Linked DNA regions of Danio rerio. The protein of the gene in region 2 purifies or fractionates together with the protein of the main gene of each other region. This does not show direct contact. Links are inferred from orthologs where the notes say so. Each region holds a gene or a part of one and is shown on either strand. Other genes may lie near its edges.

Region 1 (4,861 bases), on a different chromosome or scaffold from region 2:
GCATTCCATGAAACAATAGGTCATGACAATTTACTTGACAGTCCTATAAAAGTCATGGAAAAATTATCTCTATCGTCTTGTTCTGTTGACAGAATATTTTGTGTGTGTTTTCACACTTATAATGATAATACTAATAATACATATTTATTTTGGACAAATTGGTGTGAAATTAATTGTTATTAAATTACTAATAAAGCGATATATACATACAGAATGTATTAAATTCAAGTAAAGTGTCTACCTTAAGGTTTCTAATAAATTTGAAAAAGAATAAATGCATTCACGTGATAAAATATGTAAAACAAAACACATACACAACACTTTTGACCTTTTAAAACACAAACATCTTTATTATGCCACCATCACTTCTGCTAATAAGCAACTGTTACACTGAGTGACATTTTCTGAACGTGTAAAATCATGGTAAGTGTGTATGTAGACATTATTTATGCTCAAAAGAAATTAATGTACAAGGGTTCAGATGTGCTGTTTTAATGCGCACAGCTGTAGTTTGAGCCTCGTGAATTTTTGTGAAGCCCAATAGCGCTATCTGCTGGTAACTTGTTAATACTACAGCAGCCAGTAATTTGGTTATATTAAATGGTATATAACCTAAATAGAGATCAAATATTAATATAGATTTTTAAAAAAGTACATTTATTGGTGGTACATTTTAGTTGGTAGAGCGGAGGACTGTAGCGGTATCATAACACTGTCATCCTTAGGTCGCTGGTTCGAATCCGGCTCGAAGGAGTGTCTTTATTTACTTCGGTTTATACAGCTTACAATAATAACGTGTTCACATTAGAGACTTCGGGGTTGATTGAAACGAACTCTGTAGCCATTTTTGTAAGTGCGGTTCAGTTTAGACGGGGGAACAGGGACAGGATCTTGGGCAGCCCTGGTTTAAGATTATGAACACTGAACAGCCCCGCGAAATATAATACTTTCAGAAATCTCTGTCAACTTCCAAACAAACTACTACGGATTAACCGAAATATCAGCATAGACACGGAATATAGACGTCTATGGCAAGCCGTTTTAACATTTACTACTTTGTTTTGACTATCCATAAATATATTTAGAGATATCTCTAATTATATTTTGACTAGTCATAATTATAATTCGACTAGTCAGAATGACAATTAGAGATATCTGCAATTACATTTGTACTAGTACGAAATCATATTGGAGATATCTGCAAATATATTGTGACTGGTCATATTCCTCCATTGACTTCCATTGAAAAATATTTGCAGATATCTCTAAATGAGTTTTGACTAGTCACAATTGTGATTAGAGATATCTCTAAATGAATTTCGACTAGTCAATTGTAATTAGAGATATCTCTAACTGAGTTTCTACTAGTCATAAGAAGTCGACTAATTCCGCTGCTCCTGACGTCATTTCATACCCTTCGATAGCTCAGTTGGTAGAGCGGAGGACTGTAGCGGATTATCACTGAAATCCTTAGGTCGCTGGTTCGAATCCGGCTCGAAGGAGATTGTTTTTTCAAACATACGACTCGCATAAGCGTATAATTTCAGCTATGTATTGGTAATTAATGAATGACTGAAATTTTGTTTAGCTTGGCACTGTTGAATAAAATTTTATACAAATGTTCGCTTATTTTGTTTATATTTTAAACATTTAACTTTTGTTTTATCAACAGATATTGTGGCTTTTATTTTGAAAGGCTTTTTTCGGTTCCTGTTCACGTGTAGCCGATGACGTAGAATCATAGCTGAAGCGCTTTCTTCATGCTGTTCACACATGGAGAGCTAAACATGGAGAATTCAAGTACAGAAAACGCAACTTACAGCCAGGTAAAGGATGTTTTATATGCGTATGTGTGTTTCTTATCATTCACAGTCATTGTGGCACACTTGGTAGGTACTAAATATATGTATTGTATCCTCTAAAATGTGCATTTATAATTTAAACTTGAGTGATGAATAATTGAGCATGTGCATCAAGCATGAATAGCTGTAGACTAACTTAGTAAGGTTAGAGGAAGATGCAGCTCAGATTTTAAATAGATTTTTAATATATATTAGATTGCAAGTCACGGCATCAGTAACACCGCCACCCTGCTGAGTTAACTTTAATCTTGCATGCTGATTACTTAAAGAGACACTCAATGTTTTTTTTCCCCCTAAATATAATAATAACCATTAGAATTAATTCAACCATCAGCACCTTTGAGAAATGACAAAGATCATGTGCACTCACATAAGAGAATCACATCAGTTTAATAGAAAATGTTTTATTCCACATGTTCTCTTACGGTGTTAATATCATGCTGAATAATAATAATAATAATACTGATTAGGATTGTATGATATTGCAAAATTCTCATATTGCAATTTTTTATTCTGCGATATGAATACAATTTTACTAAATGAGTTGAACCATTTGGAATGGTTTTATAATTTTAGATTGATTTGGGTGGATTTTGTAGGGAAGTGCATAAAATATAAAAAACAATCTAACAGCGTCGATGAGTTCAATAACGAAAAAGATTCAAATGAAATAAACAGTGTTTTTTTGTTTGCAAGTGTTGGGTTGCAGCTGAAAGTTGGCGGTTCATTCTGCTGTGGCGACCCCTGATTAATAAAGGGACTGAGCCAAAAAGAAAATGAATGAAATTGTATTCAGGTATACAGTAATTGAATAATCAAAAGAAAAATAATACCACTTGGTCTTTGTTTTATAAACAATTCAATAAAAGTGATGGTTATAAAATTAAGAAAGGTACAAATGGTACAATTTCTTAGGCCTTAATGCTTTTAAAACCCTCACACGCCTTAGAAATCACTTGCAAAATTATGAATTTGAATCCAGACTTGCGAATGATGACATTACGATATCGATGCTGAAATGATATATTGTGCATCCCTAATAATAATAATAATAATAATAATAATAATAATTGCTATTTTTTCACATCTATATCTTGCACAAATTTTGTTTCTTTTCCAGGATCAAGATGAGACCAAATCTAAAAAAGACGAAATGGAACTGGATATCAAGACTGAAAACACAGATGTGTTAATTGGACCTACAGATGAACCATGCACCAGTGAACAGAGAGACGATCAGATCTCCAGCATTCAGCCTGAACAATCTAGCAAAGAGAATTCAGAACATCAACTTGTAAAAGAAGAAGATTTTACCAGTGATCATGCTGGACTCACAGGAGAAGATCAGAGCTCCGGTGGTCAACCTGCACTAATAAGAGATGCTTTAACCAGTGATCAGTCTGGACGGGCAGATCAGAGCTCCAATATTAAGTCTGAACCAATCGATGAACAGATCTGTAGTGTTCAGTCTGGTCCAGCAGAGATGCAATATGGGACTGTGGTCAGTCCACAGTCTGGCACTGGATCGTTGGCATTGCTGAGCATGCAGTACAGAGGAAACAGCTCGGATGACAACTGTTCTGACAGGTAAAATCATGCGACATTAAACACTATAGCATCTAGGCATATACTCAATATATTGTAATGATGTCCATGCACACATTGAGTATGGTAGGCACTTCAAGATACAGTGAAGAATATGTATTAATGTGTTGTAGAGTATTAGTAGTTGTTCATCACAGCATCAAATGCATACATGCTTGATTTCAAACAATTTTACATGTTAATCCGAGCTAAAACTGTGAAATGTATTCATTTATAGGCCTTTTGTGTATTAACACTGTACAGTAAGGCTCTTTTTGTTAACCTCAGTTATGTAATGACAACAACAAAAACATTTCATAGTTGGTGCATAATTGCACATTACAATAAAAAGTTGTATTTTTTATTTAAATGGAGTTAATAACTACCACAATTCTGTTGCATTTTTATATAAATGAGTATTTATAAATAAATAAATAAAAATAAATTGCCTGGTAATGACAATTAAAAAAAGCATTTTTCTATCTTTTAGGTGTTGTTAATTTCTTAATTAATGCATATAATAGCATTAAAATCAAAAGTCGTAATCATTTCATCAAATGGAGTTAATAACTAATACAATTAATTTGCATTTTTAAAATGAACTCTATAATTATGATACATGTCTATTTCTCACTGCTGATTTTAATGCATTAACTAATGTTTACCAATGAAATTTTAATGTAAAAGTGTGACCTGGTGTGCTTTCATTTAGATCCTTAGGTCAATATCTGGATAATACCGTATGCGTAAACTGTGATGCTTCAATTATACCCCCCCACCCCCACCCCAGGAATGTTCAATGCTAAATTATTTTATTACTTTTATTTAGTGACTCAGACTCTTCATCCTCCACATCCTCATCTTCATCCTCCTCTTCGTCTTCCTCCTCTGAGCCTTTTGAGGTAGTGATTATGCCGAATAAAGCAGAAGATGATGATGATGATGAAGGTTTTGCCGGGGGCAATAAAAAGTCAGCACCGGTCAAAACACAAGATGAGCTGCTTATTGATGTAAGTTTTAAGATTTTTCTTCTTTTCCAACAGCAATTTATGAACCCAAGCTGATATGTTTCCATCTTTCCCAGTGTATTTGATTAGATTGTGAGTTATTTTACTTATTTGTGATATTAGAGGTGTAATTCAGAGGAGTTTTGTCATCTAGGAATATATAGTTGGTGACGTAACCTAAAAATATATTTATAGTCTTGTTTTAAACATACAACATTATTGCAAAACACTGATGTAGTCTGTTACCAAATTCTTATTGTGTTCCACCATATTATTAATAAACATAATAATATGCAAAGAGTCCAAAAACTCTTCATTGCCACCTGAAAACAATCTTTTTCCTCAGGCTCCTATGTTTATGTTCAGTTATTTCACTATTATGAGAAATAATAGGTTATTTTCATTGCC
Region 2 (4,852 bases):
AGCAGACGGCGCTCTAGGCTAGCGTCGGACAGCAGACGGCGCTCTAGGCTAGCGTCGGACAGCAGACGGCGCTCTAGGCTTGCGTCGGACAGCAGACGGCGCTCTAGGCTAGCGTCGGACAGCAGACGCTGTATCTAGAGTTTAGTCAATTGAGCCAATTGTTTAACAAATAGCTCTAGGCTAGTATTTAACAGTGGACGGCACACTCTAGGCTAGAGATTAACAGGCAGACGCACTGTAGGGTAGCATTTAACAGGCGGAGGGTGCTCTAGGCTAACATTTAACAGGCGGATGGCGCTCTAGGCTAGCGTTTAACAGGCAGACGGCGCTCTAGGCTAGCGTTTAACTGGCGGACTGCGCTCTAGGCTAACATTTAACAGGCGGATGGCGCTCTAGGCTAGCGTTTAACAGGCAGATGGCGCTCTAGGCTAGAGCTTAACAGCAGGCACTGCTCTAGGCTAGCGTTTAACAGGCAGGCAGCACTCTAGGCTAGCGTTTAACAAGCAGATGGTGCTCTAGGCTAGCGTTCAACGGCATACAGCGCTCTAGGCTAGCAATTAACAGGCAGACAGCACTCTAGGCTTACGTTAACCAGCAGACGGCATGCTCTAGGCCAGAGTCGACCAGCAAACAGCATGCTTTGGGCCAGCGTTTACTAGCAGATTGCACACTCTAAGCTAGCGTTTACCAGAGACAGCATGCTCTAAGCCAGCATTTAGTCGATTCTGAGCTTGGAGTTCAACAGAAGGTGCTCTAGATTAGCGTTTACCAGTAGACGGCGCACTCTAAGCTAGAGTTCAACAGCAGATTCATCTGATTCAATGTCCTATGCTAAGCTAAAACATTCGTTTAACTCTAGGGGAGCTGTGAAATTAGCCTATTTTCAAATAAGGTGGAGTTTTTCCTTTTCTTTTAAGAGACGATTACGTTAATCCAAGACTTCATACCTGACATAATCGTGTATGCCCCTCTTGAGAGGATTGGAACCGTGTGGTAGAGGTGTATAATGAGCCGTCCTGATGTTCAGCTTATCAAAGTTCTGCAGACAGACATGTATATAGGTCAATAAAAACACTAAAAGCGACATTAAACGTTTAACCCAAGTATGTGCATGTTGTCAGTCATGTATAATCATCTTGGCCAGAGCCGGTCTGATCCTCCGCACCAGCACATCAGACTCCACAGCAACTGAACCAATAAAACATTGACCCAGCAGTGCAGAATCAGACGGCTGAAACCCTGCGGCCCAGAACAGACTGCAGGGCCGCTTAGAGACAGAACCAGCAGCGCTCGGCGAATGGATAAACAAGTTCATCACGTCACACACCACAGACAAAGTGAGAGGACTTGTGGGTAAACAGAAACTGACCTTAAGCAATAACGGCCATTGAGATGTGTCCAAGCTGGCAACCTTAGACTCAGGTTTAATGAGGAAGTCTCCGCTTTCTTGAATGTCCTGATGGCAAAGGTAGCTTTATTAGGATTTATTTATCATTTTAAATCCATATCAGCAGCACTGGCTATATTCATGGCAAAACCTATACGATATGTACAATATATAACATGCAATCCGATCAGTTTCCTAAACATTCATTGTACAATAAACAGCACTGAGTGTCACATACAATATTTTATTTTGATTATGTACAGTCTGGTGACAGCATTTGGCTTCATTGAATGCCAGTATTGTGATAAAGTTGGTTGTATATTCGCATTTTCAGAGATTCACATTTATTAAATAGTAAAGCAGGATTTAAAAGATTATAATGTACAGTTATGAGCACAAAGCACATTATATTTGTAACCATAACAGTGTAACAATCTCTGTAAGGTGCCCATATTATTAACCATGCTACTTTATTTGGTTTAAAATCACATGCAATGACTGCTAAATAACATTAGCACTATTTAACTGACTGAATGATGTTGTACTGTTAGTCATTGGCTGTTTATTTTGATTTCACCATTTAGAATTTAACAATACTTTCCTGAAATTATATTAAGGTGAAAGTCCAAATGTGCAAATATAAAACCAACCTTACCTCAGGACAGAAAGGAGTGTGAAAGGAATTAACTAGCTTAAAAATAGCCTATACTTGCAAAAATAACCTATACATGCAAAGTCAAATTTAACAGCATATGCCATGGTTAAATCATTTAATAACATTAAACATGCACGTATAAGAAAAGAAAATTACCCCAACTTCTTCATCAGAAATCTTCTTAGACTTCCTTTTCTTCTCTTTCTTACCTGATCCAACAAAAACAAACAAACAAAAATCACGAATGTTTCATAGACATACATTTAGGATAAAAAAAATAAGAGTCCTCCTCCTGTTAAGGGTTGTACATTACTGTGCATTTTTAAGCTAGACCACGTGGCGTGTTGGAGCAGCACGTGGGGTTAAACTTCCAGTTCTAACCTTACAAAAACACCTCTAAAGCTTCATTATTAACATTATACATTACATTAAATCGCTGTGACTTCTCATTATCCGTGTATCAATCTAAAACATTCACTTAAAAATAATAAATGACCTTGATTTTAGGTCTGCATAAACCTGATAAGACTTTACAGTGTCCACAACAAGGACCACTCCCTACATCACAATTATAAATGTGTATTAGCCTATTACATGTGTATTAGTGTTTAATATTAACGTTATTACGGAGTTATTTAACGTTAGTTGCTAAAATGACCAGATATCCAACTTCAGCACATAAATGACCATTTCCAATAATATTTTTATTATGTATACATATAGTTATATTACATTTTACTTGTTTGTTTGCAGAGAAAAGTTCAAAGTTACTACAACTACTAAAAGTAATATTAATTATTGAAGAGGCACTTTTAAAAGCAGATCAGGCTTTGCCTTTTTGCACGCACCCGGCTGCCATGCATGTGGTTGGAGTTAAAACATGTATTTACCACCAATCTTCTACTTACTTACTGTGTTTTCATACAAACAATCTATAATACAAGCTTATTTGCGAGCAACATCTCAACACATGTAGCCAAAATGAATAAAAGACGATCTTACTTTCAGTGTCCGCCATCTTCACCACAGCTGCGCGCTTCTGAACTGCAGCACGTGTGAATGGCCGAGCATGCGCATTTCTCCACACAGGCAGCGCGCGGGCTCACATCTCGGATTTATAGTATCGCGATATTGCGAGAATCAGAATCCACCAAAAACAACGAGAGATGGAGCCGCACGATGGCGCAACATGAAGAGACGCTTCAGGAGAACAGAAACTCCGTTTACAGAAATGTTTTAACTTTAAAGTGCTGTGTAGGACATGTTAAGGGCAGTAATGTATTATTAGGTAATTAATAGCAAGAAAAAATAAATATACTGTAACGGTATATTTGATTTTCTGTAGCTCAAACTGTAAACTGAGGTAAAATGGCCCCCATACACTAACAAATAGTGCTAATTGTTCAAGCTACTTATTTAAAATGAGCTGAATCAACAAGTTTTTTTGGGACAAATTGATTGTTTTATTTTAATCCTCTTACATTTGTAAAATCAATTAAGTTAACTTAATCGATTTGTTTTGGGAAAACATGAAGTAATTGTGTGGAACCCAGTATTAAATATTACAATGATGCTAATAGTAAATTGATGTATATTATTCTGTAAAATGTTTAATAATCAAACATTGTTTTTAAATTGTTTTGACATTTTGAATAATTTACTTTAGCTGGACAACGCAGTCGAAATCAAATTTATTCTATGAACTGTGTAAAGGTGTTTGTAAATGTAATATTTGGGAAACATTTAGGTTGTCATTAAATTAGTTGTCCAAATATGTATGAGGTAAAATGAGGTGTCAAGACATTTGTGCTGCCATTACATTACAAACTAAAAGAGAGGGACAATTCTCCAGCAGGATAGCGCTCCTCATACTTCAGCCTCCACATCAAAGCTCCTGAAGGCAAAGAAGGTCAAGGTGTTCCAGGATTGGCCAGCCCAGTCACCAGATATGAACATTATTGAGCATGTCTGGGGTAAAATAAAGAAGGAGGCATTGAAAATGAATCCAAAGAGTCTTGATGAGCTCTGGGAGTCCTGCACTGCTTTCTTTACCATTCCAGATGACTTTGTTAATCAGTGATTTGAGTCATGTCAGAGATGTATGGATGCAGTCCTCCAAGCTCATGATGGAGTCAGACACAATATTCATTCTGTCTCCACTGCAGCAGGACTTTATATTCTATACTGGACATTATTTCTTTTCAGTGATGAGACTTTAAGCAGAGTCAGACCTTACTGTCCTAATAAAATCATTCAAAATCAAGGCATGATCATATTTGATTTTGGTCAAATAATTGTAATCGGGGCCTTTGCTTTTCATATAAGCCACTCGAATAAAACTTAGATATAGACAACCAAATTTCTGTCAAGTTGTGTATTGTTTTTTTAGACCAAAATATCTTAGAAAAATTAACCAGCTCAGAAAAAATAATGATTTATTAAATAGAAAATAAATTTAAGTCTCTTATATAATCTTTCAAATCAGATTGTGGTGTACTGTGATTTCGAATACGTGGTAAAAGGGCAGAAATTTTATTTATATATGATTTATATTATTTTTATCTAATAACGATATCTTTAAAATCAGTATAATTTAAAAAGAAATGTTAATAGCAGCACATGTGTGTGTGTGTGTGTGTGTGTGTGTATATACTGTATATATATATATATATATATATATATATATATATATATATATATATATATATATATATATATATATATATATATATATAATGTGAACTGCAAAGACTTTCCCATTGACTGCACATCTTCTGTTTATATGTGTATTTTATTGTGTAACGTTTATA

The links. The genes of interacting proteins can lie anywhere in the genome.
Region 1: the proteins of dkc1 (region 2) and naf1 purify together in Homo sapiens (co-immunoprecipitation; 7 studies listed by BioGRID and IntAct, counting the BioPlex papers as one, with this or other methods). This does not show direct contact. The link is inferred for Danio rerio from reciprocal best matches to the Homo sapiens genes DKC1 and NAF1.

Annotation. Positions count from the first base shown.
Region 1 is NC_133179.1:10,564,644-10,569,504, forward strand, and holds the start of naf1 (H/ACA ribonucleoprotein complex non-core subunit NAF1), read left to right. Parts: upstream 1-1,740; 5' UTR 1,741-1,760; coding exon 1,761-1,826; intron 1,827-2,982; coding exon 2,983-3,449; intron 3,450-4,275; coding exon 4,276-4,456; intron 4,457-4,861. UniProt on the Homo sapiens protein: RNA-binding protein required for the maturation of box H/ACA snoRNPs complex and ribosome biogenesis.
Region 2 is NC_133196.1:47,448,868-47,453,719, reverse strand, and holds the start of dkc1 (H/ACA ribonucleoprotein complex subunit DKC1), read right to left. Parts: upstream 3,132-4,852; 5' UTR 3,061-3,131; coding exon 3,045-3,060; intron 2,252-3,044; coding exon 2,199-2,251; intron 1,457-2,198; coding exon 1,370-1,456; intron 1,040-1,369; coding exon 948-1,039; intron 1-947.